Schizosaccharomyces pombe: one gene and its partners. The gene in region 4 interacts genetically with the main gene of each other region. Each region holds a gene or a part of one and is shown on either strand. Other genes may lie near its edges. The genes, in order: san1, ubp3, SPOM_SPBC15C4.06C and elp4.

Region 1 (8,752 bases), on a different chromosome or scaffold from region 4:
TACAGTGAAAATTATAGTTGTCACTATGAGATAGGAAATTAATAGGAAAAGAAGCTCTGTAGTACCGAACTAACGTAAAACCCTTCGACCTCAAATACAGTGGTCGGACAGAAACTGCTGTTTTCGTCTAGTGTGCTCGTAGGCATAATATTGTTTATTAGAATTACTTTATTTGCTTTTTTTTATATATTTAAAAAGGTTATAGTAAAACGTTCTTCTGTAATTTCAAATTACGATTACCGACCTGTGGGAGGGCAATCTTTGTAATTGCTTCAAAAAGCTTTTGATTTATGAAAAACTATTTATCCTTTTTCCAAAAGGGACCAATTTAAATGCGAATTCTTGGGTGTTAGTTTTACAATAAGCAACAATAATATAAATTTTGAATGGAATGCTTTTAATTTGAGGTAACATTACTTAAAGACTAATCGTATGGATTAAATTAAGTCTGTTAACATCCTAGTCTTAATTTTATATAGAATGGTAAAACCAGAAAAGTAAAATCCTATAGAGAAACGAGCCCAGCCGATAGCAAACCAAGACATCTACCCTAAATCAGGATCGTTTTGGAAATTGATAGAGTTGCAATGTAGATTTAGATTGCAAGTGTTTCTCGTACATATTACTCAATGGAGACGTCCACCTTCGGCTTCGTGAATCAACTTCGTTCTCTATATTCTGAAGGATTTCATTCTCTTCAAAAAACCTTAAATAAATCCAAAATAATTAGCGAGCTTTTCTTTTCAGTGATGCTTCAGCATAATGGTTAATGTTTTGGCCGTACCTCTTTAAGTATGTATATTTGTTTAAATTCAAAACGATCAACATTGGTGATTTTTAAAACTTAGAAAGATCAATTGGAGGTTTTCGTCCATTGACAAACGAAATTGGCTTTGCAATTTTGGTTACGCCTCTGTTTATGATAATTTTATACCTTTGAGCTAAAGACCTCTTTATGCTTATTTTGTTTTCACTTAGGTTCATACGTATAAAATCTTTAAGATTAATTGCCGAAAATCGTTAGCGAAAGAGTCAATTGGTCCTTGCAACGTCGATTGTCCTTCTCTCATTTCTTCCATGAGGCGATCTTGTCCTTCTCTAATTTTTTATTTGATTTCCTTTTTGTTCTACAGCCATACAGATAATATTTATTTTAAATTAAATATTTCTATATGTCCAATGGAGAATTTATAGACCAGTATTTGCTTCGTAAGTAAATTAAACGTGCAGTCCGTTGGTTGCTCTGAAAGCTAATGCTAAAACTAGCTGAAAGTGGAGCTATACTTCAAGATTATCTAGATGATTATTTTTACACTTCTTGGTATACAGGAAACCGGAATTTAATTCAGTTAGACCACTATGGATTCCCCACTGCATCAAATTTTGAATTGAACCCAAAAAGCACCGATAATTGTGGGACAGTGGATTTTCAAGGAATTCCCTGGGGAAATAAAGCAATTGGTAAACGGAAAAACTTTCGTCTTTATCGATTACACACTTATAGCCTGTCTTGCAATCATTCAGACTGGTCACCCGAAGAGCTATCGCTAGATACTGTACAAGTCGCCGCTGAAGACTCGTTTTATGAATTTCAAAGATTTTTGAAAAATCCTAATTGCTTGCGGAATCATCACCATCTTTGCAAAAGCGTAAAGGTGGTTGGTGAGCATTCTGTCATTTATGTGAGCAATAACAGCATCAGAATGGAAAACACATTGCATGATAATTCTGTTCAAATCATTGACCTTAAGAATAATATCCTTCAGAAAAAAGCGATATCATGTTTGGATACTACAAATGCCGTAGGATGTCTGGGAACATTGTATGGACAATATTGTATTTTCAATTTTAAAAACGGAAGTTTTAGTACTCGTAAGCTTTCAGATGATTCGATTAATCATATTCAACTTTTTTCCGAAAAAAAATTCATCCTTGGCTGTAATGATGGTGCTGTTTATGTGGAAGATGTCCAGCGTACTAGCCCCATTCTTGTTTACAGGTGTTCAAATGCTGTTAACTGCGTCCAACTTTTTGATGAAACTCCATTAGCGCTTGTATGCACGGATTCGAAAGACGCCATGTTAATAGATATTAGATCAAATTCCGTTTCAGCCAAACTTCCCCATTCCGACTCTGTACTTACTGGTTCGTGGCATCCAAATGGAAATATTTTGGCTACTGGAGGACAAGATACAACGGCTAAAGTTTGGGACATACGTGCCCTTGGTAAGTCGTTTCGAAATCTAGGTAGCCAAATGAGTGCTGTGACGAATTTGTGCTTTTCTCCATTAGGTGAAAGCTTAGCTGTCACGGAACAAGCCGATTTTGTTCAACTTTTTGATACTAAATTATTTAATACATCCCAAGTTATTGACTTTTTTGGAGAAATCGCCGGAACCGCTTACTCATCTTCTGGCGACAGTTTATTTATTGGTGTAGACGATCCCATGTTGGGTGGCATTTTAGAATTTAGGAGACCTTTACAACATCCGCTATCTTTCATATTTTAATTCTTTAACTCATTGAGTCATTTAATCTTATAATAATAAATTCCTTGGTACCAAACAAAACTATTAATGAACGTTGAAAAAAATAATGAGATTTTTTGTAATAGTCAAATAATCATTTAGTTTATAGGAGAGCAAATAATATAGATGATAAGTATTGAGATATAAATAATACAAAAACAATAAAAATCTATATAGCATGAAATATTGATACTCTAAAGGGACATCACCAAATTTGTATTGAAGATTTAAAAAGGCATAATAAACAAACAACTATATTTTTCATGATAAAGATAACAAAAGAGTAAAAAAACACAAACATTACTTATGCTCTTCATTACGACATTTTGGGCATTCTCCAATTTCTTCGTCCATTTGATTTTCGGAGTTGCTAGTAGATTGCTGGCATCTTTCATGTACTGAATGACCGCATTCGAAGTGCACAAATCTATCATTAGGATCACAAATGCCTTGATCCTCAAGCTGACACTGAGGACGCGTTGAGCTAGGTCTGCTATACGGATGATGCCGATTTGATCGTCTAGCAATCGGAGCAGCCATTCGAGGAGTGCTAGTTCCCGACGAAACCTTGCTAGTATCACCGGCATCACTACCAACAACGTCCGACGGAGTGGATATCGCAGGCTGGTCTACCGCAACATTACTCAAGGTGTCTACAGCAATGGAAGAATGGGTAGGAGTTTGATTTCGTGATCCTGCAACTTCACTCGAGTTTTCGTATTCGCCAGGAATATTTATCTCATCGGAAGGTTGTCGCCCGGCAGTGTCAACATTAATGCTGCTTCCAGCAGCTGATTGCTGAGCAGGGGTGCTCGATTCACTTCTAGTTTGATTCATTCGATTCTCCATTTCTTCCTGAAACCTTTGCAAAATGCGCTGCCCCATTTCACTGAGATGGGTAATACCAGGACCTTGGAAAGAGCCATTGCTTGGAGGTCTACTTGAATCTTCCATCGTAGCATCTGTACTTCTAGTACCTTCCCTTGAAACCGCTTCAGAAGGAGTTTCCTGTTCGCTAACTGCAGGTTGTAAAGGCGGTCTCGACAAGTATATATGAATTACTGGATGAACAGCAGGGGAGGAACCATTATTTGGTGTATTTGTACCCATAGTTACAGCATTTTGCTGATTTAAATTCTGTAGATTGGGAACTGCGGACGTAGCGTTGCTGTTGGTGTCGTCAGTATTCTCTGGCAACGTTTGACCGTTTTCAGTCTGCGCATTGTGATCGGGATGGAAAATTCCATTTAAATTAAGCAGGTTATTATTACCGCTAGGACGGAACATAGACTCAAGAACAGCTGGTAAATCGGCTAATGAAGGAAGACCATGGAACGTCATTAACTGTGTAAAAGGCCTTTCAGATCGATTCGTATTTGCAGGGATATTTGTTTGGCTTCCAGGAAGCCATGAAGTTGATTCAGGCGAAGCCGTTGGAAGATTTAGCAAATTGGGAGGCTGTATTGAAGGTGACGGCTCAACTGGTCTAGCTGGAGCATTTTGAGAGGGCAAGTTACTAGTTGGCAAGTCTGTGGAAGTACTATTCGTCATACTACCAGAATTAGAGGTAAGATTCGAAGTCATAGGTTCATTAGAGGAAGGGCGATCAGGCATAGATGAAAAGAAAGCATTAAATAAGGACGTAAGCGTCGAAGGACGAGAATCCGAAGGAGTAGTCTCTTGTCTAGAGCTAGCATTTTCGGCATCAATAGAGGCACCTTCTCCTGCTAAGGGCTCACTACGAGTAGTAGGTGTTGAGGTGTTTGAGTCAGGGTTTTCAGGGTGAGTATTTTCAACAGGGGTATTGGTGGCAGATCGATTTGGAGCTAGAATAAAACGTATTCGGTTAAAAGCAATGCGATGCAGTTGCCGAGCTGGTTCGTCTACGCCGGTTCGACCATCAGTGTTTGCATTGTTAAGCTCCTCAGATGGATGAAAGTCGGAATGAACACCATTTGATGCATTTTCTTGAGAAACCGCGGTGTTGCCTTGGTTGCCACGAAGCGTATGTGAGTGTGGAATGATAAATAAAATAGGAGGATGAGCTGAACCTACTGTTTCGTGGGGAACCTCTTTTCTACAAAGAGGACATGTACAATGATTTTCAAGCCATTTTTGTAAACAATTTTTACCGAATATGTGGCCACATGGCATCTTGGTAGCCTGCTTTTCATCATTTTCATTCATATCATCGTAACAGATCGGACAAGTCAAATCCATCAGTTGGTCATTAGACAAAGGTTCGAAAGAATCCCAGGCTTCTTTTACAGCGCGTTTTACGGGTGGTTGAAAGGGATTGGCAAACGGATCATTTTCTCCACCCTCGAAATTGGCTTGAGGAGTTATGATAAACATTGTACCAATTGAAAAAGCAACTGGTTGAGTCCCCGTGGTAGGGTGGGTACCTTCTTCACCCTCAGTTGCTTCACTGTTTGGATTACGATTCAAATAGTCATCATGCCCTTCAGATGATTGTCTCTCGTTTGATGATGCATGAGAATTATTCTCATTTGTATTGGAATCCATTTAAAACAGATAATTGTAACAGGAGATTCTATACAAAAAACTAGTACCTCAGTGGTCTAATAATAAAACCAAAAAAAAGAAATAAAACGACCACAATAAAGTCGAATCTAAATAAATAAAGCAGTACTCAAAATAAAAACAACAAATAAGACAAAGGAAATATTTGTAGGAGACTTATTATATACAAAGGAGGAATATGGTAAAATATGATTGCTGCGGTAATAAAAAAACAGGAATCAAAAATTTAATGGTAAGGAAAATGTAACATTCTCCATCGGGGTTTTCTGGCCACTGAATATTTCAATATTTATTTAGGCAAGCAAAAAAAAAAGTAAATAGAAAATAAAAGACGTTATAGAATGTTATAAAGTGCACCTTTCCACTTAAACTATCTTTTAAGGTGCAAAATGTGGTGTTGAACAAAATAGAAAACCAGGGACTTCCATTATATATTGCCAATAGAGACAGTGAACATGTGGGCGTTCATTAGGACATTCAATACCTTAATATTTTTAAGGAGTTATAAAAGGTTCTCCTTATTTGATAGTTGGGAGGTTTGTTGACATAAAGCATATGAAAACCGAAATTCTGCGAATCGTGTAAGAAACCGCATATCCTTGAATTTATAATTGACATTTAAGCTAATGCTTTATATATGTACTAAAAAAATGATATGCTCTTTAGTAAAGGAATCATCTAAATACATATTTTGCCATTTAAAATATGTATATTAGAAACTAACAATTACATATTCTTTCCGCTTTTATTATGCTGTTATAAGAACTTCGTTTCAATATATGTTCATCACTAATAAGAAAGTATTAAATTTTAAGTTCACAGCAAACACACGCAGGAACATAGTTGTCGAAATAAAAAGTAGCACCAAACTTTGAAGTTTCGTTCATCGGTATCTTATTAAGCACTCCATGCGTAAATATTTGAAGTCTAACTAAGAATGTTATCAATGGAAAAATAAATGTAGTGGGTTTCAAAAGATCTCAGTTGGCCTTCATGAAACTTTGTGTGATAGTATTAACCATAAAAGAATGTATGAATAAAAGAACGTAATGTGCACCTAAAAATAACCATTGGGCTCTATTCAAATATTCAATCAGAAAAGAAGATATATGCTTGAAAGTAACAGTATGGGAGGTTATATAAACTCATACTAAAATACAGGATCCGTCATACAGTCTTTTGGCTTTTGTATTATAAAAATACGTAATCAGTTGATGCTTAAGGATTCAAATTGACGCTCTGTCATTTCAAAGTTGGGAAGTAAAAACACAATATCGTTCCAGCGCTTTCGTCAATTTAATTAACAAGCAAATCGTTAAGCCAGAATCCCATGAAATTAGCTTTTTCATATACAATGAGCTTAAAATGCAATGTAGTTCGAAAAATTATTTACAGAATTTGAAAGAGCTTTAACCAATAAATCTCTTGATAAAAGCCCTAGATAAAAATCTGGAAACAAATCCAGAAGAATTGGAATCTGCAAGTTCTGTAGCCCAACGACGCTTCGCGTCTTTGTCACAACGACTGTAAGCAGCGGTGTTAACACTTGTCAGTCCAATTGCGACAGCAACGAGTGCAAGCCAGAGAAATTCAAATCGAATTATAGCTACAATCCCCAATATGATCCAAATAAATGGATATAGATAGAGAGCGTACCAAAACGTCTTCTGATCAACGGCGTTTCTGGGACGACTGGGATCTGCCGATTCGAAAATCCAAATGCTTTCACCATCAACTCCAGTTTCATTTCTCCATCTCAAACCAACTAGTAAACGACCAGAGACGTTTTTAACAGTCCAAAGATCAACAGCTAGCAAAGTGAAAATTACAATAAACAACAACATACTATTTTTATTTGTTTAGCTCAATTTCTTTTTCTTTTAAATTTCTGCTATTAAAAACTTACAAACTTGAGGTAAAGAACATGCCCAATATGTATGCCACAATTGCACCGGTACGAAATAAAAGAAAGAAGAAAAGAGCTACAGGATGCGAAGACATTTGAAACATCTGCGGTAGCCTACTAGCATTCCTTTCCTGCTCGGCAATTGTCTCCGTATTTTGATAGTCCATTTTCGTCAACGTGATATGGTTATCAACGTAAAGGTTTCGATCCAAAGAGGTGAACATCTCAGCAGGGGTTTGACAGTATGCGAATAAGGAACCTTAACGAAGATTCTTATTGTGTAGCAAGCCTGGTTTTCTAAAAGATCGTATTCGAAAGTGAATGTTTAGTTGTTAATTTAAGTTTTATAATATTCTTCTAACGAAAATGTTTATTAAATTTTTTTAAAACTGTAATGCATATAATATCCAAAGTATGAATCTGACTGCCTGTCTGTTTAATTTTGTTAATGCCTATCATCTAAGCATTTGAAGTAAATTAAATTTTTCTGTAATACTGAATTCCTAATTTTATTAACAAAATCCAAAAAGCATTTTAGACAAGAAGTAACAAAAACCTCAAGAAGACAACTTGATAAATTTTTGGTAGCTTTTGGCTTTTCATATTTAAATTTATAAAACCTCAGTGCCCTAACCGCATTTCTGCATTCGAGTAATGAACAAGTGCTTTAAAGAATGTTAGGTAATTTGTTGTATATAAAATAGGATCATGAAATATTTCACATAATCTAAGCTGCCAAGGTGGAAATCCTTGCAACTTAAGCAGAGGAGCAAATATGATTAGTAAGTCTGGTTCAGGTATTACGCTCTCCTTCAATTCTTTATCAATCAATTCCAGTGTAACTTGGGTGCTACTGATAACTTTTTTAGTACATAAATCCGCTAAACCTCTAGTTAAATCGATGATAGCATCTCGACCATCTTCTTTCGCTATAAGATGAACCTTTAAATCGACACAGTCATTTTGATTTTTTTCATCAGGAGAGCAAGGATTAGTTACATGGACGGTACACTTGTCACCTCCAAGATAGAATGGCAGGTGAGAGTAAATAGCTTTTTCAACAGCTTCGGGAGATTGCTTTAAAAACCCTAAAATCTGTTAATAAATGTAATCAAATAGTAATGGAATTTCAAAACTTCAACTGCAATTATATACCTTTACGTTCATAAATCGTAAGTTCGCGAATATTAGAACAAACACACCAAGCAGATAATTCACAAGCATCATGAATAAGGCCCTCTATACCTCCATCTTCTACACACTCAATAATAACGGCGATGTGTTTTGGTTTCTTCTTTAATTTTTTCGTATCGCGTCTTATAAGATCTCTACTACAATGGTGATGATACAAAAAATTCAGTAAATAACTGCATGTCCAAAAAACCCAATTTTTTGCCCAATCCCAGGCACCATAAACGCTTTGTATAACCCATAAAGCTAAATAAAAGAAAATATCATCATACATGTTTGTGAACACTGGTTGTCAGAATTCGAACCTATTTAATTTAGGTTGAACTCTGTAGTTTTTTTATATTTAGGGGTATAAATTGGATTTTAAATATGAACAAACAAACTTTTTAAGTTTGAAACTTCCTAGGAACAATTTACAGCTATGAGAAGACAACTGGCGATGTTTATGAACTGCAGGCTGCAATGTTGGGTGGTGTGCTGAGGTACTTTGTGATACCAACACGAACAATGAAAGCTGCTCTTTCTGAAAAAATCGATGTATCGAAGTTTTATCTTTTTTTGTTATAGGGTATTTTTTAAAGTT
Region 2 (7,681 bases), on a different chromosome or scaffold from region 4:
CTAGAAGCTAATTGCTGATTCTTCCTGGGCATGCCTTGAGTCTTCTTCTCGGAATTTCGATGAGGCTTTCTATCGGCGCTATGTTCTTTAGTTTTGGCAGATGATCGGGGAATATTGGAAGAAGAAGGAATGAAGTTGGGAGATTTTGCATTTAACTTGCTCGAAGAATTACTGTTCGACGGCATCTCTCCCAATGCAGATTTTTCTCCGTTAAGCATTAAAACTAGTTATGAATCTTTAATACCAGTAAAATCAATCAAAGCATTTAAGCCTTTGACAGATTTTTAAACAGCAGACGGCTAAGGAGCTTAAATTCGTTTGAATAATCAATAACTATTAGACAAACGTCTTTGTGGCCTCCAAATCGTCTACCAAAACTGCTAAGGTAGAGAAAGTAAGACAACGCATATCGACGGCGAAATAAATTGTATAAAACACGTTAGTACAGTATTGTAAATACTGAATTTTAAGAAGTTACTTCGCACCTCATAATCGCTTTTAAAAATATTGAGTACGCTATAATCATCGGTACGCAACGTTACATTTTACTGTTTTCATTCAGTTTTTAAACAAATTTCGATCTTTGTTATTAAATAAGCATGTAATCAATTTGTAATGGCTATATGTTTAGAAATTATAAACTTAATATCTGTAAACAAAAACATTTTGCAAATAGCAGTTTGGAAAATCTATATATACCAATTTCTATACTATATTTTTACAAACATTTAATATTGTTTTTAAATCCTTATTTTGATTTCAGGAACAATGAATTTATTTAAAATTCAATTTTTTGCTTGACTAATTTACTTCAAGTGTTTTAATTTACGCATTTACTAGATTCTCTTTAAACTTAAGGAGATATCATGTCAGAACTTGATAGATTTCAAGTATATACTATTTTACCTGTAGTCTATCAAACACTTCCGAACATTCGCAATACGCAAATAATAGAGGAGTCCTCAATTATTATAAAATTATAGCACCGATTATTAATATAAATTTCCGTGAATTGGCGGTTATGATAATCTACAAATTTATTCTATTTTTTTTTTAATGATGTACAGTAATTCAACAATTTAGCTTGGAATGAGGCTGCTCATATTTTCCTTTTCCATATATTACATTCAATTACCATTTTAAATACCCAAACAGTTAATTTTGTTTAAATATTGCTTAATGTTTCTGTATCGTATATGAATTGAAAATTCTTTTTTTTGGTTTCTGATCATCAGTAAATCCTAAATTAATTTTCTAATAATGTACTAAAGTCTTAATTTTAATGAAAGAAAGAACAGATCGTGTCATCCATCGAGCATATGTATTACGGATAAGTTAAGTTATAATTTTTTTGCATACAAATACAAAAAAGCCCATTTAGTTCATTAATTCATTCATGAACATAGTCCTTTGACGGCGTTGCTAAAAATGCAATCAGAAACTTATTGCATCGAGAAAAAGGTAATGCAAATAGAAAAAAAACAATAAAGATTCCTTCTTTTTTCATCAATAAAAATCATAACTAAGCAGGTAATCGGAACTTTTTTCCCTGTAGAACTGTTCGGCGATATACGACTGCAAAATCACCATACAAAACGGTTTGGATAATGCCCGCAAGAATTGCAACACCGATGACTTTCTTGTGAACTGCAATACGATAAATCCAATGAGGAATATATAGTCCTCTATATAAGCACATTGCAAATAAGTAATGGGCAGTCAGGCTCTCTGTTTCACCAGATCGTTGTAACATAAACAATTGAGGGAGAATTGCAACACTTTCTAACCAAATACTAAAAGTCCATAGGATGTTACTAATGGTATAACTGGTTGGATAAATGAGAGCCAGAACTGCACAACCACCTAAGATATATTCAGTTCGAAAAGTATCAAGACGTTTGTCATATGTAGGTCGCAAAGTCATTAACATCAAGTAGCATATATAGGATTCGGAAGCTATAAAAACTATCCTCATCAAGAAATAATACAAGCTTTTGTATCTCCAAAAGAGATCTGTTAAAAAAAAGAGTTAGCAAAGAAAGTATTTTTCGAAAAGTTCAGCACATACTCAAATAACGTGTAACATAAACAAGCAGAAACAAAAGATGGGATTTGAGAGATAGTCCTGAACAGGTTTTCGATTTTTTCATTCGGTGCAAAAGCAAGAAAATAGCAGCCAAATGGGCCATATCACCTAATGATTAGCTTTACTTTGACGAAATTCATCATACCCAGTGCACTGAAAAATGTCATGATTAATTAATAAAAGTAAGGAGTGCCTATTTCAACGCGCCAGGTATTAGGAAAAAGAATTTGGTAGTGGTGTTGACAATAGGCTTAACTGCGCAGAGATATAATTGGGGTATGCAAGTGGGGGCCAAATGTTTAATAAATGCAACAAAAAAACTGTAATTTATATTCGTACTTTAGAATGCGCTGAATCAAGATTCTCAAACGATCAAATCTTTTTATTTAAAACAAGGAGTTTAGCTTGCATGAAAATTATAGAAATGGGCTTTAAAGTGACAAACTTGATGCCATAGTACTTCAAATATTACATTATGAAGCTGGACTTGACCTACTACTAATAGGACAGCAAAATAAAAACCACTTGACCCTACTTTTGGTACTGTTTTAAAATATATACTGCATTAAAGCTGCAATGAAAATTCACTTGTATATTCGGAGTAAGTTCCTAGAAAGGTTGTATTATAAAGCCGATTAGTTTAAAGGGATTGAGAGGGAACGTAATCTTAAATAGCTAAAGTTCATAAAATAAAAAATAATAAAAAATTGCTGAACCTTTTTGAGAAAATTATGTAAAAAAGATATGATAAAATTTTCTAACCGACGTTTTAAACAAAAAGAATTATAAAAAAGTGTAGTCCCCAGTTTTAGCTCAAATCCTTGAGTTGTTTATTGAAGAATACACAAAACAATTAAGGTTTTTATTGGTTAATTTTTTTTGGGAGGAAGGAATCCAGATGACCTAGGAGCGTCGTGTGTAAAACAGTAAGTATGCCACACGATCGCCGTGACCAAGTTTACTAAGACTCGGATCAGCGGAAAGTTCGGAGTTTTCAACATCATGAATAGGTACGCGGTGAATGTGTGTATCATCAATCCGAAACCAGCCGCTTTTATCAAGTTGCTGAACATCGACAGTATAATGACCACCAGACGCAGAAGTACCGTGATGATAAACCACTGCATTCAAATCATATTCCGGATGTATGGAACCACGAACAGAAGGGCTGAAAACGTTTTGTGGAATACTCAAGCGAGCAGGATAAGCAATAGGCTTATAATTTTTCTGTGTACCGCCAGATGCTTCGTAAAAGAATCGTTTAAGGTGAAGAATCAAGACAGGAGGAAGTGACTCTATATACATTTGCTTGGTAGCAGTAACATTTCCTTTCGACGAATGCCATTCCGGTAAAATTTCAGGGGCGGTCATATGCTCCAACGCATCGATAACTGAATGTATATCTTCTGCTTGAATGTCGAGTTGCAGAGGTTGAAACGGTTCTAACAAAACAGAATCTCTTGCACTCGGAACCCTTAAGGTAGAGCGCAGCTGACCACCAAAAATTTGGCTTATAGGAGACCTTTCAACAGTAGCAGATCTAGCAATTACTGGCTTTTTATTTTTACCAACTTCGGTCCAGCCACTAGCTTCTACAGAAGATTGATCATCAAAACTATCTAAACCAGACTTGATACCATTTGAAATTTTGATATCAGATTTTGGATTTCTTTCGTCATTTTTTAATAAATAATGTCTACGTTCACGCACGAATTCTTCATGTAATTCGTCAAGAAACAAATTCAAAAACTCCTCAGCATCCTCCTGTTCGCCGGTCTGCAACATTTCAAATCGAGGATTCCCCTTAGTAGCTGAATATACCACTTCTGGCAAAATAGAATCTCCTTGTAAATCAAATTTCTCAGAATATTCTCTAAAATCCCTAGAAAGCATTGTCAACGATTCAATAAGAGGTGTTGTACGTTCAAAATTATACGGAACCATCCGGTTAATTTGCTTAAGTAAATTATAAAATGGAACACAATACATTAGTGCCTGTAAAATAGAGTTCATAAAACATATATTTCCGGTATTTATAAAACCCCGAGGCTGTATAGGACGGGGTGCATCGAGGGATGGAGAATATGTTTCGATCAATTCACCAAGGGATGAATTGAAACTTTTTTTCTCAGACCTGTCAGACGGTACCGGAACAGAATGTGATTTTTTAACAGGAGAGTCTCCTTGAACATGCTTTTTCGCAATTGCAGACCACGATTTAGGCGATTTTTCAGACTCTTTCGTCTTTGATGTGACCAGAGGCATTTGCACCGAAACCGACCAATCTAAATTCTTAGGCGAACGCCTTTTTCTAGCCTTTCGATGAGGAAATTCATGTTCAGAGCATGAGTACCATGGTAGCTAAACGTTAGTATAATCACAATTTTAATAAAACATACCAGTGAATTGATAATAAATTGATTTCGTGACGAATCACTTTCCAAAGACGCGCTGTCCGTTGCAGAGGTCAAATCTCGCATGGAAATACGCACACTCTAGCAAGATTGAACTCTTGTTTACTAATTTGATGGTTGGCTGTCGTTCGCTTTGCTCTTCAAAAGACTGTCCAAAACTTTTTTTAATATACACTATACCTCGTTAATTCTTCGTATTCCACCAAGTGTATTATGGTGATATTCCACTGTAAACACTTGACCGCCTAACTCAAATTCCTAATTATTTTTAGTTGTTCTTTTTTATTATTAATTATTGAATGTCCATGCCCATCTTTAGTTATTTTTAGAGAATACGGTATATTTACATATCTAAGTACCACTATATGTATCTTAAACCACAAAAGTGATACGAAAAGAGAAAAGTAAATAGTAAATTTTAAAATTCGATATTCTGCTGTTGTGTGAACTATATATAGGTCTTGAATATATATTGTCACTCATTTTACGCCGCAGCAAATTCAATCGTTAACCAAGTCTTAATGTGATCATAATTGAAATGATTAATTGTCAAGGAGGTGAAGTAAGATGAACGAGTAAATTAAGTGACTTTTTTAAGTAAGCTGAGCAGTAAAGTACGTAGCAAATTTTAAAAAAGATAAATATAACAATAGTCGTGAATTTTTAATAATGTTAACTATGCTGTTGCTATGCGGTATATCTTTTTGTGTTTCAGCAATGCAGTTTGAATATCTGTTTAACGATACATAGAACTGCGGCAATTTTCTCTTGCGATCTACAATATAGCGGGATGCAGTATATTTTTAACTGACAATGTTTATAGGAAGCTATTAGTATCGATCATCGATACAGCTAGGAACTGTACCTCGTTCCTCAGTTCAACTGTAGCTCTATTAATAATATTTCTATAAGTTGCTATCAACGTTGCATCTATGTAGATAGACGGATAGTTTATCCTCGTGTATCAATAAACGGATCTTAAGTATTTAAACATATGGCATATAGTGATACGCAACATAGTATGTCATAGCGTAGTGTAGTATTGCTTGAAAAAATTTAATGTTCTTTATCTTTCGTAAAAGTTTTTAACAAAACTCAGCGATGTGAATAGTGGAGGTTGGACTGAAAGAATGCCAGTGCCAAAATTTTTCCTCAGCCCAAATAAACGTTTTTGGACTTCATCACATATTTTCCATAAAAGATGGGAAGAAAACAGAAGTCTAAGCAAGGAATTCCCCCAACTTTAGAGGAAAATCATAATTCTTCTCATAAAGTGACAGAAAATGCAAAAAAGAGAAAGCATTCAAAAGAAAAACCACAAAATTCTCGGAAACGCCAATTAGCAGAAGAAAAGAAATCTTTGTTTGAAAATTCGGATTCTGAGAATGAAAAAGATCTTATTGATGCAGACGAATTTGAAGAGGCTGAAACTTTATCAGACTTGGAACATGACGAGGAACCCCAAACATTTGCTGACGAGTTTATCGATGATGAGGCTAAAGAATGTGAAGGGGAGGAAGAAGATTCTGTTTTTGATTCGGATGAAGAGCATGAGGTTAAGCCTATGTTTAGCGATGATTCTGGAGATGAAGAGGATTTGGAACTTGCGAATATGGAAGCCATGTCTCGCAAACTTGATGAGGAAGCGGAATTAGAGGAAAAAGAAGCCGAGGAAGAATTGCATACCAACATACATCCTGAGGCTCCTACTGTTCTTCCACCTATTGATGGTTTTACCGATAGCCAACCAATATCTACTCTTCCACAGGATTTGAGCCAAATTCAATTGCGGATACAGGAAATAGTCCGTGTTTTGAATGATTTTAAAAATTTGTGTGAACCTGGACGCAATCGTTCTGAATATGTTGATCAACTCTTAAATGATATATGTGCGTATTACGGTTATTCTCGCTTTCTTGCTGAGAAGTTATTTGAATTATTTTCAGTTTCTGAGGCTGTTGAGTTTTTTGAGGCAAATGAAATGCCTCGTCCTGTCACAATTCGTACCAATACTTTAAAAACCCAGCGACGAGAATTAGCCCAAGCATTAATTAATCGTGGTGTCAATTTGGAACCAATTGGTAAATGGTCCAAAGTAGGTCTCCAAGTATTCGAATCCCAGGTTCCAATCGGTGCGACACCCGAATATTTAGCTGGTCATTACATCCTGCAAGCTGCATCTTCCTTCTTGCCTGTAATGGCCCTTGCGCCTCAACCAAATGAACGTATCCTTGACATGTCCTCAGCACCTGGTGGTAAAGTCACTTATGTTGCTGCATTACAAAAGAATACTGGAATTATCTTTGCAAATGATTCTAACAAAGCTCGAACAAAGGCTCTTTCCGCTAACATTCATCGTTTAGGTGTACGTAATGCTATTGTATGTAATTACGATGGCCGCAAGTTTCCCAACGAAGTAATTGGCGGTTTTGACCGTGTTCTCCTTGACGCCCCATGTTCGGGTACTGGTGTTATATATAAAGATCAGTCTGTTAAAACTAACAAATCTGAAAGGGATTTTGATACTCTTAGCCATTTACAAAGGCAATTGCTTCTAAGCGCTATTGATTCTGTCAATGCTGACAGCAAAACCGGTGGTTTTATCGTGTATTCTACTTGCAGTATTACTGTTGACGAAGATGAAGCAGTTATTCAATATGCTTTAAAGAAGCGCCCTAATGTTAAGCTAGTGTCCACTGGACTTGAATTTGGACGTGAAGGGTTTACCCGTTTTCGTGAAAAAAGATTTCATCCAAGTCTAAAGTTAACTAGACGTTATTATCCTCATGTTCACAATATAGACGGTTTTTTCGTTGCCAAACTGAAAAAGATTTCTGATAAAATCCCTACTGTAAATGTGGCTGATGATATGAAGGATGGAACAAATAATGATGTTGAAATTGAAAAGAATTCTACTGAAATTGATAATATTACTTTCAATGATGAAGCCGATAAGGAGATTATCGAGCAGAATCGTCGCAAATGGTTGAAGTCTAAAGGTTATAAGGTTGCAAAAAAAAAGGATTAGAATAATTTTGGTTAGGTTGGGATTACACAATAAAAGGTAACTGAACATTGATTCGCGTGTTACTACAACAATTATATTAATAGGTTGTCGTAAAGAGCCGGTCTTTATATTTTTGTATCAATCCATCTGGTTGTCAAATCTCAATTCAGTGGA
Region 3 (8,061 bases), on a different chromosome or scaffold from region 4:
TTTTGTCTTACCAGACACCTGAAATTCTGAGACTTAATCTGCAAGAAGTTGTTTTGCGAGTAAAGATGTGCCAAATGGGTGATGTACAAGATGTCTTAGGCAAGGCGTTAGATCCACCTTCCTCTACCAATATTATTCGTGCTTTAGAAAAGCTTCATCAAGTGGGAGCGCTCTCTGAAAACGAAAAATTAACAAAACTCGGCAAATTTTTGTCGCAATTACCTGTTGATGCAAATTTAGGAAAAATCTTGGTTTTGGGATGCTTCTACAAATGTGTAGATGCCGCTTCTTCAATAGTAGCCATGTTAACAATCGGTTCACCTTTTAGGAAATCTGTTGACAATGAATTTTCTGCAAACAAAGCCCGATTATCATTCGCTAAGGAGAATACCAGGAGTGATTTAGTTTTGATGTATTATGCTTACTGCGCTTGGCGAGAGATTTGCCTTTCACCTTTAGGCCCTGATGAAGATTCTTTTGCCAAAGAAAAGTACTTAAATTTAGAGGCTTTAAGTATGACAGAATCACTAAAAATCCAACTGCTTTCTGAGTTGAAGGATATGAAACTTTTAGGCGCTTCGGATGTTGATACTTGCAAAAGCCTAAAACGTTCAATATGCCGGCGTTTTGCCGTTATCCCCAAAGAGCATGATATTAACTCAGGAAATGCAGAAATTCTGTGTGGCGTAATTGCTGCATCTCTGTATCCAAACATTTTAAGGTATGATTACGAAAAAAGACAGTGGTCAACCTTGAGTACCAACAAGCGTGTTAGAATTTTAGATGTATCGGTGAATAATAGGTCTGAGTTACCTAACATGCCGTCCAAATTCGTTGCTTACACGAACATGATGTCTTCCACTCGAGCTAGTGAGTATGTTAATGAAACTACTATGGTTACTCTTCGCCAGCTTCTAATGATGTGCGGCCTTAAAGTCGAAAATAGAGTATCAGTTGGACAAGCAAAGCTTGACAACTTTACAGTATATTTTGAAAATGTTTACGTTTCGGCATCTTTAAGTATTTTACGTCGCTTTATTGAAACTTCTCTAAACGAATTTTTTGCTGAACCTGATAAACGCTTATTGAATTCCCATCTTGAGGTTATTGTTAACATAGTTTCACGGTTAAATTACGGAACCAAATTTCAGAAACGTCTCAAAGATTAATGAAAGTATCAAAAATGAAATATCAGAAAGTTGGTTTTCACATATCTGCTTAATGACAGGCAAATTTTCTTTCCATTTGGAAAATGTAAGAATTATGTTGGTTGAGCATAAATGTGTAAAATGGAGTTATCTAAGGCTTCATTGCAGAAACTGATGGCTTTTCTATTTTATGAGACACAATTCAGAGTATTTAATTTTCTCAAATCCAAAAATGTCAATTATTATAACTGTATATCGTTTTCTTAGAATATCAAAATAGGTCTCTAAATGAAAAGAAAAAAATATTTACATATGCAATTTAGCATTAGACCGGCTAATTTGTAAAATACTTAATAGTTTTTTTGTACCTTCATCATAAACTAGCAAGCAACATGTGTATTAAACTTTTTATAGTAAACAATGACATGTATAGTAAGCTTTTATATAGTACTATAGAATTCATACGATAACACAAATAATAGATTAGAACGATGAGAAATAGATAATTAGCCCATTAAAAGATGCAAGAAAATTATGAACTTAAGGAAGCGTAAGTTTTCTTCGTCGTAGGAAGAACTGAACAATAAGTATGAGTATGCGTATGCGTATAAAGACAAGCAAAATATTATAACGTAAATGAATGAGAGTCGAACAAAATATGCTAATATAGATTATAAAAAAAATTATCCTTATGAGTAGAAGTACAGGAATTACTCAACCAATGGAGAAAATTCATAAATATGCAGTTTAAACATTGTCCTCGGAAGCATTTTCCAACATGTTTGTAACTGACTGTTTACATAGGGGACAAAGATCCGAATTTTTTAATAAATAAGGATCAATGCAAGCCGGATGAAAGATGTGATGGCATGGCAGTTCTCGATAAAGAGGACTTTCTTCTGAATACTCACACAAGCAAATAGTACACTCCCTCTGATCGAAATACTTACTCCCTCTTTCGGCTGTAGTAACCACATTTCCCTGTCCATCAAAACTTTCTGATTTGTCTAATTTCCAATCCTTTTCATAAACCAACTCATCATTAGGATTGGCAAGATGAGGCCCCGAAAACATTCTAACGGGCAAAGTATCGAGCATTTCTTTAGTAACACGATTTTCTGGTTTGTTTGGTCCAATATTCACAATTCTTTCTTGAACAGGAATTCCATGACGATTTAAGAGTCTATAAAATCCATTCATTGCACCAGAAAAGTGAAGGCAAATAAAAAGGCCTATGACACCGATTAAACCCAATAACACACCAATGAATATATAGAGGCCAAGTAGCTTTGGTTCCTTGCTGATGATAACGCCCAAACGGGCCGTAGCATCAATGTTTCCAAAATATTCGACTAATGCTCCACCATCCTGCACCGAATTTAAAGAAGAAGCCGAGTATTCGTTGAGAATCTTTTCAAAAGCGATGCCGTTTTCGTAAGATATGAGTGCCATTGGTAATGTTTCAAAGGTAATCATATCTACAGCATCTTCAAAGTGGTCAAAATTGGTTAATGAATTACTAGCAGTGCTTGCATTATAAAATAGTATTGCCTTTGCTCTATCCTGGACAGCCTGCAATACATGCATTGGAGCACAATAGTCAAACGGCGCGAATGCGATTAAGCCAGAACTTCCCATATTAGAAACATCTCTAAACCATACGCTTCCCTTGGTATCAACTTGAAGTGACTCGGTGTCATTGCAGCTACCATAAGGAGTAGTTTTATATATAATTCCACGAAAATTATTCTTCAGTTTAGACAAGCTTTTGTAATACTCATTCAAAAGGACCGTGTTGTCAGAGTGGAAGTAAAATGAGACATTTTTTGGAAGATTTGAAACAACATTCTTGTTGTTTTTAACAATAAGAGTAGTTATGGTTAGCGGAAAGAACTGATTGTATTCGACAGCATTCATAATAATAGATGAATTTCCGTAATATGAAAGACCAGAGCTAACATAATTAGATATTGCAGTATTTGGAGCATTGCTGGAATAAGCAGGGTAATAATCATCATACAAGGAGATTGAACCAGAAGTAGAGGACGACCTTGCAGAACTAGTACTAGAATCTGAATAAGATTTGGGATTTGATTCACTGGAAACAGAATCCGAGTCTGATTCACTAGAACTGGACATAGAATCTGATTCATCATGACTAGATCTTGAAGAAGAAGTGTGTTCACTAGCATGCCCACTAGTATGGCCTCTTCTTAATGATCTAAATGAATAAGAGATTGGAGTTGGCGAGATACTTTCGTCCTTTGGCATTCGATATCGCCTTCTTTCATTCCATAGTTTACGAATTGCATTAAACAGCCGCTTTCTCCTCTTTACCTTATTCTCTTGTGAAACATAGCCTCTGTAAACTGCATTGCAATCCAGATGATCAAGCAACTGGTTATTACACAGATGCATAAGAACCTAAACAAACTTTAAGGCACGAAGAAACACAAAGAACTAGGAAACAGGAGGTTTCAAGATTACCAAAAAACAAACCTGCTTTGATACCAATCTTTCTAAATAATGAATCAAATTTAATGGTAATTGAAAGGTAAGCTTTCAATCAATAAACAGACGTTGAGTGGTGATATCTCTAAAGCAGGAATTGTGGAACACAATTAATGAAATTTTTTAAAGGAAATTTCAAAAAATTAGAAAGTAAAAAGTGTGATTCTTTTAACTTATACTAGCTCAAGCTTGAAAACCACAAATTGGTGGTGGCTAAGTAATGAACATCTTGAGACATATTGCGTACATAGTACACAATACATGTGATATACATGTGGAAAGCAATTGTTATTATATTTTCACTATGAGCAGTATACTTCAGTGAAGAAGTTTTTTAATGAAGGAAAAACTATGAAACAAACAAAGCATAAAGTGCAGGGCGAGAAAAACAATCGTGAAATAAAACAGCTTATTTGTGTTTGGTGATTCGACAAGCGCTTTAAACAGGTGTGAGAAACTAAATAATAATAAATGGTAATTATAAGAAATAAAAAAACGAAGAAGTGATACTTCAAAAAGGTAAGCATAGCTGGAGAATTAATGATCAGAGAGAACTATAATAAATAAATAAAAAAAGGATCGCTTAGCGATCAATTAAACAATAAGATATCCTCCTTAAACATAAGAAGCAATTTACTAGGAATACGTTATAGGATTTAATGTTGTTTGAGTATACTTTGTAAACTAGTATAAGGATATAATTATTGTGATATGCTACCTCGTAATTTAGTATAATTTTATGGAGTTCGTTTAGTACAGCGGTTACATATTTGTTTAAGAAGGCTAAGATATAATATACTATATAATTTTATATTTTACTGTATTAACTTACAACTGAACTAGGAAAGGGTAGTTTGTTCGGTTGAGATATTTCTTCAATAATTGTATTTTCCTAAAGATGTTTTACTCGTCCTGATCATTAAAGATCAGTAGTATGGATCCGACAGTTTTGAAATGAAAATAACAATAATTAGTAGTGATATCTAATGTAGCTTTGATCTGGCTTAGCAATACATTATTGGTAAAGTATGGGGAAATGGATTATGTAGTTTGTTATGAGAAATAAAAAATGTGCACCAAATTAATCTCAAATATCCTTTCTTTGCGTAGTAAATTTTTTTATTTGTTTTAAACACATATTAACTGGAAGTCATGTTTGCGCAAACTTTAAAATGCTCATCTCAGCAAATGAATAACATTGTAGTTTGAGAATAATAATTACTTTTGAATACATATGTTCAAGTCCAAGAAGGCTGCCATTCAACTCTAAACTGAACATTTGCTTATAGAAGCAAAAATTGTAGTAGATACCAACTTCGCTCCGAACTCTATATAATACCGATTTTAAACAACACTTTTTACCAGAAGTTAATTAATCTTATATATTAATTTCTATTATTCAACTAGCATTATTCCAAGAATTGGAATTATTTACTTTTCGATCTTAGCCCTTATATACGTAAATAACAATGCTACTTTACCACGAATACAGAATATAGTCCACCTCCACCATCCCTATTTTAGTTGGCCTAGTGGTTTCTTGAAACACTGGATTAAAGTATTAAAAGTTAAGTCCATAAGCTAGGGAAATAAATTTCCTATTATTTCCAATAAGTCGAACGATAAATCAAGGAACCACGGATTTGAATCAAGTTGCAGAAAGACATTCTTTGCTTTACAACATCGGTCAAATAAAGAAAGAATGAGTGACATTAACAATAATGAGCCAGCTGAAAATATTGAACAGCCCAAGCAAGAACCAGAAGATGGAAATAATTCGATGAGTGTTGATGAACAACCCGAAACGTCTTCCACAAATCTGCCAACTGGTGACAATCTCGCCCCAATGAGTGTAGAATCCCCTGCACATTTAAATAACGAGGATTCTCCCAAAAGCGATGATTCTAGAGAAAGGCATGGCTCGAATTATGTTATAGAACCGCATTTAGAATTGCGAGATATGGCCAAAGACAAAACACTTGAAAATTTCTTGGCCCAAATGGATGATTACTCTCCCTTAATTCCAGATGTGTTATTGGATTATTACCTCAGTTTATCTGGATTTAAATGTGTTGACCCACGCTTAAAAAAGCTTCTTGGTCTTACAGCTCAAAAATTTATTTCTGATGTTGCTCAAGACGCCTATCAATATTCTAAAATCCGAACCGGTAGTAGCAATGCATCTTCAACTACGTTTGGTGCGCAGAATTTTGGAGCCGGAGGCGCTTCCGGGATTGGATCTAGCGGAAGAAGAGGTGACCGTGGAAAAACCGTGCTCACTGTAGATGACTTAAGTGCCGCTCTTAATGAATATGGAATTAATTTGAAAAGGCCCGATTTCTTCCGTTAAAGACTTTTTATCCCACTAAGGCCACTTGTGTGAGACCCTTACTTAATGCATTAGTGGAACTTTGTTTCTGAAATCTCATTTTCCTATAAAATTTTTGTTTACTAATTGTTGTTAATTCTAACCTTTTACACTTTTTTGAAATTATTATGTATTTTGAAGATAGCACATTCGGTTTGGCGTGGCATTGTTGATGATCATAATTTCAAAACATTTTCTCATATCGATCCATTTCAGCAGTAGTTTTCATATGAGGGATTATTTATCTTTATATTTTATAAAATTTATCATATGTATCATAGTTACTATTTTCTCGCTATCACTTGCTGAATTTGTTTTACACTGATACTCTCATTCAACATTGATGTAGTAAATGTTTTCTTCGTTATGCTACTATCTGCATTTTGAAAAGCACTTCTGAAAGTGTCAATTACGCGGTCGACAGCTGCCTCATAGTATGTCAGAACCTAACATGCTTCTAATTATAATATGCATTGTATATAAAGTAAAAATTAATATAATTACAGTTACCAGTACTCTTTCAAATAATGTAATGCTTGAAACCTTAAACAAATACAGACTTCTCAAGAAAAATCACTGCCTTCATCTGGCAAAGGAAGATTATCAGTTCCTACAAGCAAACATCTTGTTTTGATTGTAGGAAGGAAAGTACTTGGTATTCCTCTTTTAATTAAGTCTAATATTACCCAAAATTAAATAAATTGATTATAATAAATTATAGTTTATCCTATTCAAAGGATCCATTCTGTTTATTTAAACATTATAGCGCTGATAGTTCAAAAGTAAATGGTAACGTTGGTAGGACGCGCTTGACATTCTGTGTTGAAAATGGAAATACCATTAGAGGTAGAATTTGCCCGAATCGGTGAATTCAAATAAGCCTGTAACTCGCAAAGTCCATCAGAAGTTCCACTAGGTCCATACCCACAATCGATAAGGGGATAAACTTGCTGGTTGACGAGATGCCGTACATAATATTTGCTGTCAGAACAAAAGAACAACTCAGTAATTAAATTTCCAGCGAAGGGAACGAATGAAGAAGTTTTCTGGGAGTATGTATAAATGTTTTTATCAGTCGGCAAAGGATTTTGCGGAGTAATGTCAGGAAAGAATCCCAAAGCAGCTTCCACAGGAATGATATTAGAATCATGAGTAAATGCTAAAAATACTTTACGATCGAAGTCGGGATTAGTCACATTACGAAGTGAGTCTGCAAGATTATTTATATAGGCCCCACCTAAGGTTGAAGCCCATTCGGAAACAGGACCACCTCCATATGCCTGATCGAGATCTGAGTCATATTCAAAGTTCAAAAATTCTGATGGGGTAAATATGGAACAAAAATCACTGTGATCTTTTATAGCAATTTCATATTCGCAGATATAAAAGAGACTACGAACGTCATTGATCGTAAGTTTATAACTGCTGTCAAAATATTTAGCCAAACGATTCACAATGGGCTCAATAAAAATATTGCGCCATACAGCATGGGCAGCATCAGTTGCATTTTTATGAAAGTTATTATCTTTAAACACGGGACATGCGTTGTACATGGATAAGGAGTTGGCACCTGCTGCCTTACCTTCAGAAATAAGGATAAAATTGGTTTTTTCGTACATTTTATCACCAAATAATCCATAAGTAAACCATTTTGCAGATTCAACAACACGTTCCTGTTCAGCCGTATTTATGTCGTAAACGTATGAATCAAAAAGTTTATAGTAACGCTGGTATAGCTGACGACCCAAGTCGAAAAGTTCGAGACGACCACGGCTGGAAAGTTGATCGGCATTTTCTGCATCTATTACAGGAGTCCACTGCTTAATAAAACATAAGGGATTCTCGGGGTAGCTGAAGTTTACGGGTATTGAGCCGTTTAAAAGCTTTTCCTGAAAATTATTTAAATATTGTGAACTATATACATCAGTGGCAGTTACATCGCCCGTTGGGTTTCTGGAACCGTGACGTTGAAGAAGATGAACTTGTTGGATCTCACAGGTTTCAGGGAAAGCAGAATCAAGACCATCAAAGTAG
Region 4 (7,266 bases):
TGGGAACGTCGAATCCTTCATGAAGGACATTCAACGCCCATGATGCTTTAAAACAAAGCTTTTCAAGCTTGTTTTCATCAGTACTTGGAGTCAGCTCTTTATTATAAAGACGGGAAAGCATGGTTTCCCACTCTGTACCACAATACTCGTCAACTTTTTTGTAAAAATTAGGGAAATGATAGCTACCGCCCATATCAAACACATCATTAGTCGTATACCAAAATTCCGAGACCCCAACAAATTCAGTATTTGCAAAATCAACAGGAGGAATAGATATTCCATCAAAGTTACAAGGGTCCATGGAGCATGGCTTGTCTTTATTTAATAGATTGTAAGTCAGTTTCAAGCATTGTTTCAAATCTCCAGTACCGGCAAATTCGATCCCATCGATATCATAAGTTCGTCCACGCAAGGAACACGGATCGCTTAAAGTGTTGCCAACTTTTCCGTTTTCGCTTTCTATTAACAGTCCCAAATACCTGCGGTAAGCTTCATTAGCGCCAAAACCGAGCCAGGTAGTAACAAACAAAGGATATTCCAATTGCTGACCATTTTGTAGTCCTATGTGAACGGTCGAAATACTATCCTTGTAATTTTTGAGCTGAGATGGGGGAAGTTCAAAAGCAATTTGCACACTCGCACCGCCCATATCTAAAAAACCAACCGTTGACGTATCTTTTTCTTCAAGTGTCTTAAGGAGATAGTTCGTAGCTAGCCAACCATACATACCTTCAGCTTTGCCATCAATTACACGGATTGAATTTGAGCAATTAGGTATGTCGAAATCGTAATTCTTTTTAATATATCTACAAGCATGCGAAAGTATTTTGTTTTGGGCATCAACGCCCAGTAAACGCATACCAGCTGTAGCACTTAGGAAAACCGGAGTTTCTTTATGTACATCTTTGGGAATAGCATGAGCAGCAAAATCCAGGAGTTCTTTCAAATGCTTCTTCCCTACATGCTTAGGGTTATTGGCAAAGGAAGAAATTCCAGGTTGAACCTTTAAAGACCATTTACCACCATCCCCAATCCCTGTCTCGATTAATGGTAATTTTTTTACTTTATCACTTAAAGAGGAATCGGTATCATAGTCCCAAGAATAAATTAGAAGTCTTGAACCACTAGATCCAGCGTCGATGAAAATTCCATACTTTCGAACCATTTTTAGCCACCTGCACTTATTTTTCTTAACAAAATGTCTCTTTGTCTATAAGACTGGATATTAAATAACTTCGACTCTGAAGATGGATATTTTCATCAAACCAGCCCAATTTGCCTTTTGTTTGTTGATGGTTGAAAGCGCACTATGGCGATGTGAACAATTTCAATATGGCATATGTTCCCAAGATATACATCAATAAAATTCAGTTAAATATATGTATCTGTCTTATCAATGAACCTCTATTTAACTTAATTGAAACATTGAATGAACGTTTGTAGTGGATTATGAACATTCAACTCAATGTTTAACAACTAGCGAATGTATAGGTAGCACATTTTTAGGTGGTAAATCACTATATAGTGAACTCTGTCAAAATGCAAAAAAAGTAAATTGAGACGAATTTAAGGACCCATTCATACGGACTATTGGAATAATCACATTAATTTTGGTCACTTGACTTAAAAGATAATGCGACTAGAATTAAAGAGAAAAATCGAATACGCGAAAACTTTTTGATTTGTCTCTTTAATTTGCTTAGATGTCAAATACTGTTAGTACCAACAGATTGACAATGTTTTGATAACAATCATCAACAATTTACTTCAGAACTGTTTTAATAGAGAAAATAATTGTATCCTTCAAATTTCAACGGTTTAACACTGTTTAAGATTTAAAATGTCATTTACTTACAAGTATTTCATGCACTTTGCTTTAAGATCACAGTAACGGTTCTTCGTAGAGATATTTGACGGCTTTCAGTTCGCATTCTATATTAACTTGTGTTTTAAAGTTTTGATTGAGAGAACGTTTATCCCATTTGACGAACATTTAGATAATTGATCAGTTATCTAGACGGGAGAAATGAAAAATATTTAAACTCGTATGAACAATAAATAACACAAATGCAATGCATCCAAAAAAAATTATAAAATCCATTTACAAACCATAACCATATCACATAACACGAAAACGAGTAGAATTTTAATCCAATTCAATACTCAGAAACTTAGAGGTTTTTTAATTGTCTAAAAATCCAAAGATTTAACAGGCTGTTTTTGAGGATTCGTGTTTGAAATCTTCGTATCCTTTTGCTCATCATCCAGTGGAGGAAGGACCCATGGTTCAATGGTAAATCTTCTTTTCGATACAGTAAATGAGAGGTCTCCAGCTTCATTAGAGTTTGCATGATTGGTAAATGGAAGTGCTAAGGGAAGCTTATGGATACGGAAAAGTCCTAATGGTTGTGTAACTAAACCGTTAACAGTTTCTTTGACCGGGAAAGGATGCAAAGAGAATACGGCGGATGCAAGGTTTTCTAGCCAAAAAATTTGCTCGCAATCTCTTGAAAACAAAGTAGAAGGAACTGAACACATACATATCAAGTGCACCGAAGTAGTGCATTTGATGAGCGATGAAAGTGTGTGAATAAATCTTATGAAATGCTGCGGATGAGTAGCACGGATAGAATAGAAGGCTGGGGACAAAATGGATGGAAGAACTAACCTGCATACCGTACCTGGAGTCAGAGTAGATAAGAATCTCGTTAGACTTTCAATGACAGGGGCGTAAGGATTAGACCCTGTTTCCAAAGGGAATGGAGAAACAGCGTATTTCATATCGCTTTTCACTATCAAATTCTTTGACAAATCAAAGGAGTGAGTATAGCCAGGAGGAATCATATCAAGGGTCGGTGCCTTGGTTTTGGAGACTTGTTCATACCTCCAGGCAATTTTCATTCTTTCTTGCTGGGGATTTTTAGAGGGAGGAGAAGAATGATTATCCTCTCCAGCTGAATTTTCGTTTTTATTAGGCCGGTCGCTGTCGCCTGGAAGTTGACGAAACCACATCTCTCCAATAGATGGACCAAGCCAAATAACATGGTCCTGTTTAAGGCCTTCCGCTGCAAAAAATTTAAGTAGCACAGAAGCATAATCCATCGAATCTTCCTCTATAACCAGCAAACTTTTCATTGGAATGCCGCCAGACAAATAGTAGTCAAAAGAAGAACTCCCAGAGCTTGTAATCCATCTAGCATCCTTTGAAGATAGTCTAACGCCTGTCGGCAAGTTTGTTGGTGCTATTTGAGGTGCTGCTTTCCTTTTGAACGACATCAATACTTATTTCGATTGGTGTACGTGGAATAGCAAATTGGATGGAAAGGTTAACGCGACGCAAATTTGCAGCACACATTTAAGCATCATCAGTCAGAAAACAAAGAAATTCAGCGTTGCGATTGAGAAAATAAAAAATTGTTGACTAAAGTTAATCATTCAATAAAAATACCTTTTAGATAAATTTTGTTGAACTAATAATAAAATTTCACTAGTGGGCGCATTGAAACAAAAATAATATTGTAATACTACAAAATAACATAGAAAATGTTACGTCGTACAGTCAATTAGCATGATCGGAAAATGTATTACTGTTGTATTTTTGAAGATTACTTTCAATCCGAATCTAGTTGGACAAGACTTATGAGAAATTTAAGTCAACTCAAAGTACAATCTATTCATATTTTATTTTTAAGATCAGGAGAATCTGATTGCTAAAGATACAATTTAATTAGCTCTTCGCTTACCCCACTCTTCGAATCAATGATCCCTAAATCGGTAATGAGACCTGAGACAAATTCGGGTGGTGTAACATCCAAAGTAGGATTATTTCGAATTTGTTCTTCATTCATGATCAGCTCGTTATGAATAGCATCTGATGGAGTTGGAATTGGTTCAGGTTCAGGATGAACAGTTTCAGGAGATGGATCATCAAATTCCAGAATAGGACGACTAAAGGGAATATCATATTGAGAAAGGGGAAACATACGCACGAATTTATGACTAAAAAACGTTAGTACAAATTTTAAAATTAACAGGGAAATGGAGAGATCATAGGGAAAAATAATTGTAAGCTGAATGGATTCAACGTTTACGTACCTTTCTGCAACTGCGTAAAAGGGCTTATGTGCATGTTTGGCAAAAACGGCAAGTTGGAAAGTACCGATTTGATTAATGAGTCCTCCGTTTTCGACAACACCTTCTGCGCCAACCAAGACCAAATCTACACGGTTCATAGTAAAGCTTACAGCGGAATCCAAAACCATGCAAGTAGGAATACAAGCATTTTTTAATGTTCTCGTCATTAGACAGCCTGAGCCGCTAGGTCTTGATTCTGTGACAAAAACTTTGAAACGAACGTGACGCTTGGCAGCAGCCAAAAGAACAGCCGCAACACCGCGTGAAAACCCATGGGTAAGAATAACACTACCATCTCGAATAAGAGGGTAACCTAAATGTGCAATTCTTTGTCGACAAGCACGAGCACGCTGAATAAAGAGTTTTCCATTTTCTACCAAGTGACGTTTGCATTGCTCAAAATCCTAAAGCCGTGGAGAATTAGTAAAGAAAAGAAAACTACTTTGCATCAACACATACCCCGACATCGTGTAGTGATCGAGTGACAAACCGTTGGAAAATGTCACAACCAGCTGAAAGCGAAATGTTGTTTTGAACGCCTTCCTTCAGCGTATTTGAGCCATTTTGTAAAATGTCCATAAATTCTGAAATTGTCTTGGCTAATAGAAAAACATCAGTAAATTCATTTCTCACATGAGTACTACAAATTAACATACCTTGAGAGCGCGACAAAAGCTGGACTAAAGCCTCAATGGCGGCTACAGGCATCGTGATTTCTGGATCATCTTGCAAAAATTTTTTGTAAACCTGGACGATGTCAAATTCTCCTTGAGAATGTCGAACGATTCCCGAAGAATCCGATTCCACCATATTCGCAGATGCTAGACGCTCTTGCTTAGTAGCAACATCTTTTCCATACTTTAAGGATATCCAACAAAATCAAATAACGGGCAATGCCTTTTTGTATTAAATTGTAAGCTACGCAATTTGGTATCTGATTTAAGGATACGTAGAACTGCGGTGAGTTTTCCTTGTGATCTATTATATTACAATACACAGGTTGTATAAGTAGCAACTGAGTATAGGTATTGTATTAACTGAGTTATAATGTTACCTATCACTAATATAGCTCATAACTGAACTGAGGAACGAGGTTCAGCAGTAGCTCTATTTATATTATTCAGATAATATAGATCTTAATAGATTATCATTAAGATCAATCTCAATATCGTATCATACATGGTACGATATATAATTAGAACATGTGACATATAGTGATACGCAACGTAGATGATGCGATGTCGAGATTGATATTGATAATACTATATTAACAGATAGATTATTTGGATAGAATCGATAGAGATACAACTAAACCTCATTTCGCAGTTCAGTTATAAGTGATAGGTGACATTATAACCTAAATAGTACAATACCAGTACTTAGTCATTACTTATATAACCCGGCTATTATAATATAATGGATCATATGCAAAATTCACCAGTTTTTCGTATCGTTAAAGCAGATACCAAACTGCGTAGCTGACATTATACGGCGTTTTGGATACTGATCTACAGATATGTTCCTATAGATATTTATGTAGGTGATTTGAATGGTATTTACATATAAATTGGTTTATTAAATAGCTTATATTTAATTAAAGCTAAATATTGAGAATAATTTTAATATCATATTCTTGACTGAGTACATCTGAGGATAATCATGAAATTCTTCCTCGGTGATCAGTAAACAATGCTTGACTGTTGATTTCCAATATGTAACGTTCAACGATACTTATCATTGTATAGATAGTGAATTTGTAGTATAATTTACTATGTTCCTAATAGTTGAGCGTATCATGAACGAAATATGTCAAAACGCTTCCATTTTAAAAAAAAAGGAGTACTGATGAAAGCAGTAATTGGATTTGGTAAAAAGTAATATAGAAAGTTTTTTAAAAAACTATTTTATGTTTAAGAGACCTTTCAAAAGTTCATGACCATTTCTACGAGAAACTAATCTTTAGTCCAACCTTCGTAAATCTCGCTTATATTAAGCTTGATTTTACTTCGGTATTTATGGATGACGCGAACACTAAACTGGTATAGAAAAAACGCTATTACTTTCAGCATCTAAAGAAAATCATTTATGATAATTTCTATGCTTTCAATTATATCTAAATATTTACATGCTCAATCATTCAAAGCGATGCTACAAAAATATTATGTTTTAGTTGTCGACTCGAATTTCAGTAAAATCCTAACTTTATTGCTAGACATCCGTAGGTTTTCATTTATGCTATAAATCTGTGAATCACCTCGTGATCGGCAAGTTGTTAAAATAATCTTTTAAGTAACTCTAATACCATGCACTATAGTAAAGAAGGTATATATTTCTTTGCGTGCCTAGTTCTTGTTTTCAATAGCAATAGTCGTTATCTCCCATAGCTTTTAATTCTGCTCATCGATGAGAGTAACATATTCCAATATCTTCTCTACATTATCAAATCGTTTTGCAATTATAAAAATATCAATAGCTTTCGATTTCCCCCAATATGGCTAATGCTAAAATTTATAACATTGATGTAGAATTTGGCTTAGTTAAGATGCAAGTTGAAAATGTCTTATGTTTTATGATTATCAGAAAATGTTTTGTGTAGTATCTGATATTAAAAAATGCATATCAACTTTTACAATAAATTCGCTTGCGCAAAATGTATAGAGACTGCATATCTCGTTTCTTCTCCCTGCGGAGTGCCTGTAACTGGCGTCTTGCACTTTCATTCAAAATCGAAATTTTTTGGTAAGGATTTGATAGAGATTGTCACTTGGTAGCATATTTTTTCTATCTTGAATTCCTTTTTCTAGGCTTTTGTGGCTCTTGGCCGTCCACTCTTTATTTTTGTATTCAACTGTTTTTTAATCACATAAGTCTAGTCATAATCTTTTGAACCAACTCAAAGCTTCTTTTTTTTATTTTTTTCTTTGTTAAAAAAAGTCTTTATTCCTTTTATTATATCAGTTTATGGATTTCATCGTGTATGGCTTTATGTGTTCATTCCTTCTGGGCAACGGCGGTAGACACAGCGACTTCATGTCATTTTATATCATCTGAAAACTGCTTAGTTTTATTACAAGCCTTAAAAATTAATATTTATCTCTGTAGTGAGGTTCATGGCTTACAATTCTTTACCTC

Evidence for each region.
Region 1: mutations in elp4 (region 4) and san1 together harm fitness less than expected from each alone (positive genetic interaction), as found in Schizosaccharomyces pombe (one large-scale study listed by BioGRID).
Region 2: mutations in elp4 (region 4) and ubp3 together harm fitness less than expected from each alone (positive genetic interaction), as found in Schizosaccharomyces pombe (one large-scale study listed by BioGRID).
Region 3: mutations in elp4 (region 4) and SPOM_SPBC15C4.06C together harm fitness more than expected from each alone (negative genetic interaction), as found in Schizosaccharomyces pombe (one large-scale study listed by BioGRID).

Annotation. Positions count from the first base shown.
Region 1 is NC_003423.3:2,949,988-2,958,739, forward strand, and holds san1 (RING finger protein), read right to left. Parts: upstream 5,472-8,752; 5' UTR 5,055-5,471; coding exon 2,829-5,054; 3' UTR 2,608-2,828; downstream 1-2,607. Other genes in the region: SPOM_SPBC2A9.03 (WD repeat-containing protein), read left to right, coding at 1,173-1,209, 1,267-2,510; putative transport protein Tvp23, read right to left, coding at 6,482-6,917, 6,979-7,145; nus1 (ditrans,polycis-decaprenylcistransferase), read right to left, coding at 7,600-8,066, 8,134-8,443.
Region 2 is NC_003423.3:3,674,598-3,682,278, reverse strand, and holds ubp3 (ubiquitin hydrolase Ubp3), read right to left. Parts: upstream 4,631-7,681; 5' UTR 4,567-4,630; coding exon 4,486-4,566; intron 4,448-4,485; coding exon 2,990-4,447; 3' UTR 2,618-2,989; downstream 1-2,617. Other genes in the region: rnf10 (ubiquitin-protein ligase E3), read right to left, coding at 1-218; erd2 (HDEL receptor), read right to left, coding at 1,523-2,013, 2,069-2,194, 2,232-2,253; RNA methyltransferase Nop2, read left to right, coding at 5,702-7,528.
Region 3 is NC_003423.3:2,249,841-2,257,901, forward strand, and holds SPOM_SPBC15C4.06C (ubiquitin-protein ligase E3), read right to left. Parts: upstream 3,871-8,061; 5' UTR 3,567-3,870; coding exon 1,896-3,566; 3' UTR 1,571-1,895; downstream 1-1,570. Other genes in the region: dhx29 (ATP-dependent RNA/DNA helicase), read left to right, coding at 1-1,169; SAGA complex/transcription factor TFIID complex subunit Taf10, read left to right, coding at 5,362-6,009; SPOM_SPBC21H7.03C (multiple inositol polyphosphate phosphatase), read right to left, coding at 6,804-8,061.
Region 4 is NC_003421.2:1,461,063-1,468,328, forward strand, and holds elp4 (elongator complex subunit Elp4), read right to left. Parts: upstream 3,329-7,266; 5' UTR 3,277-3,328; coding exon 2,191-3,276; 3' UTR 1,924-2,190; downstream 1-1,923. Other genes in the region: nucleoside diphosphatase Ynd1, read right to left, coding at 1-1,165; translation initiation factor eIF2B alpha subunit Gcn3, read right to left, coding at 3,711-3,999, 4,096-4,538, 4,594-4,733, 4,791-4,944; CLRC ubiquitin ligase complex WD repeat protein Rik1, read left to right, coding at 7,112-7,266. UniProt on the Schizosaccharomyces pombe protein: Component of the elongator complex, a multiprotein complex which is required for multiple tRNA modifications, including mcm5U (5-methoxycarbonylmethyl uridine), mcm5s2U (5-methoxycarbonylmethyl-2-thiouridine), and ncm5U (5-carbamoylmethyl uridine).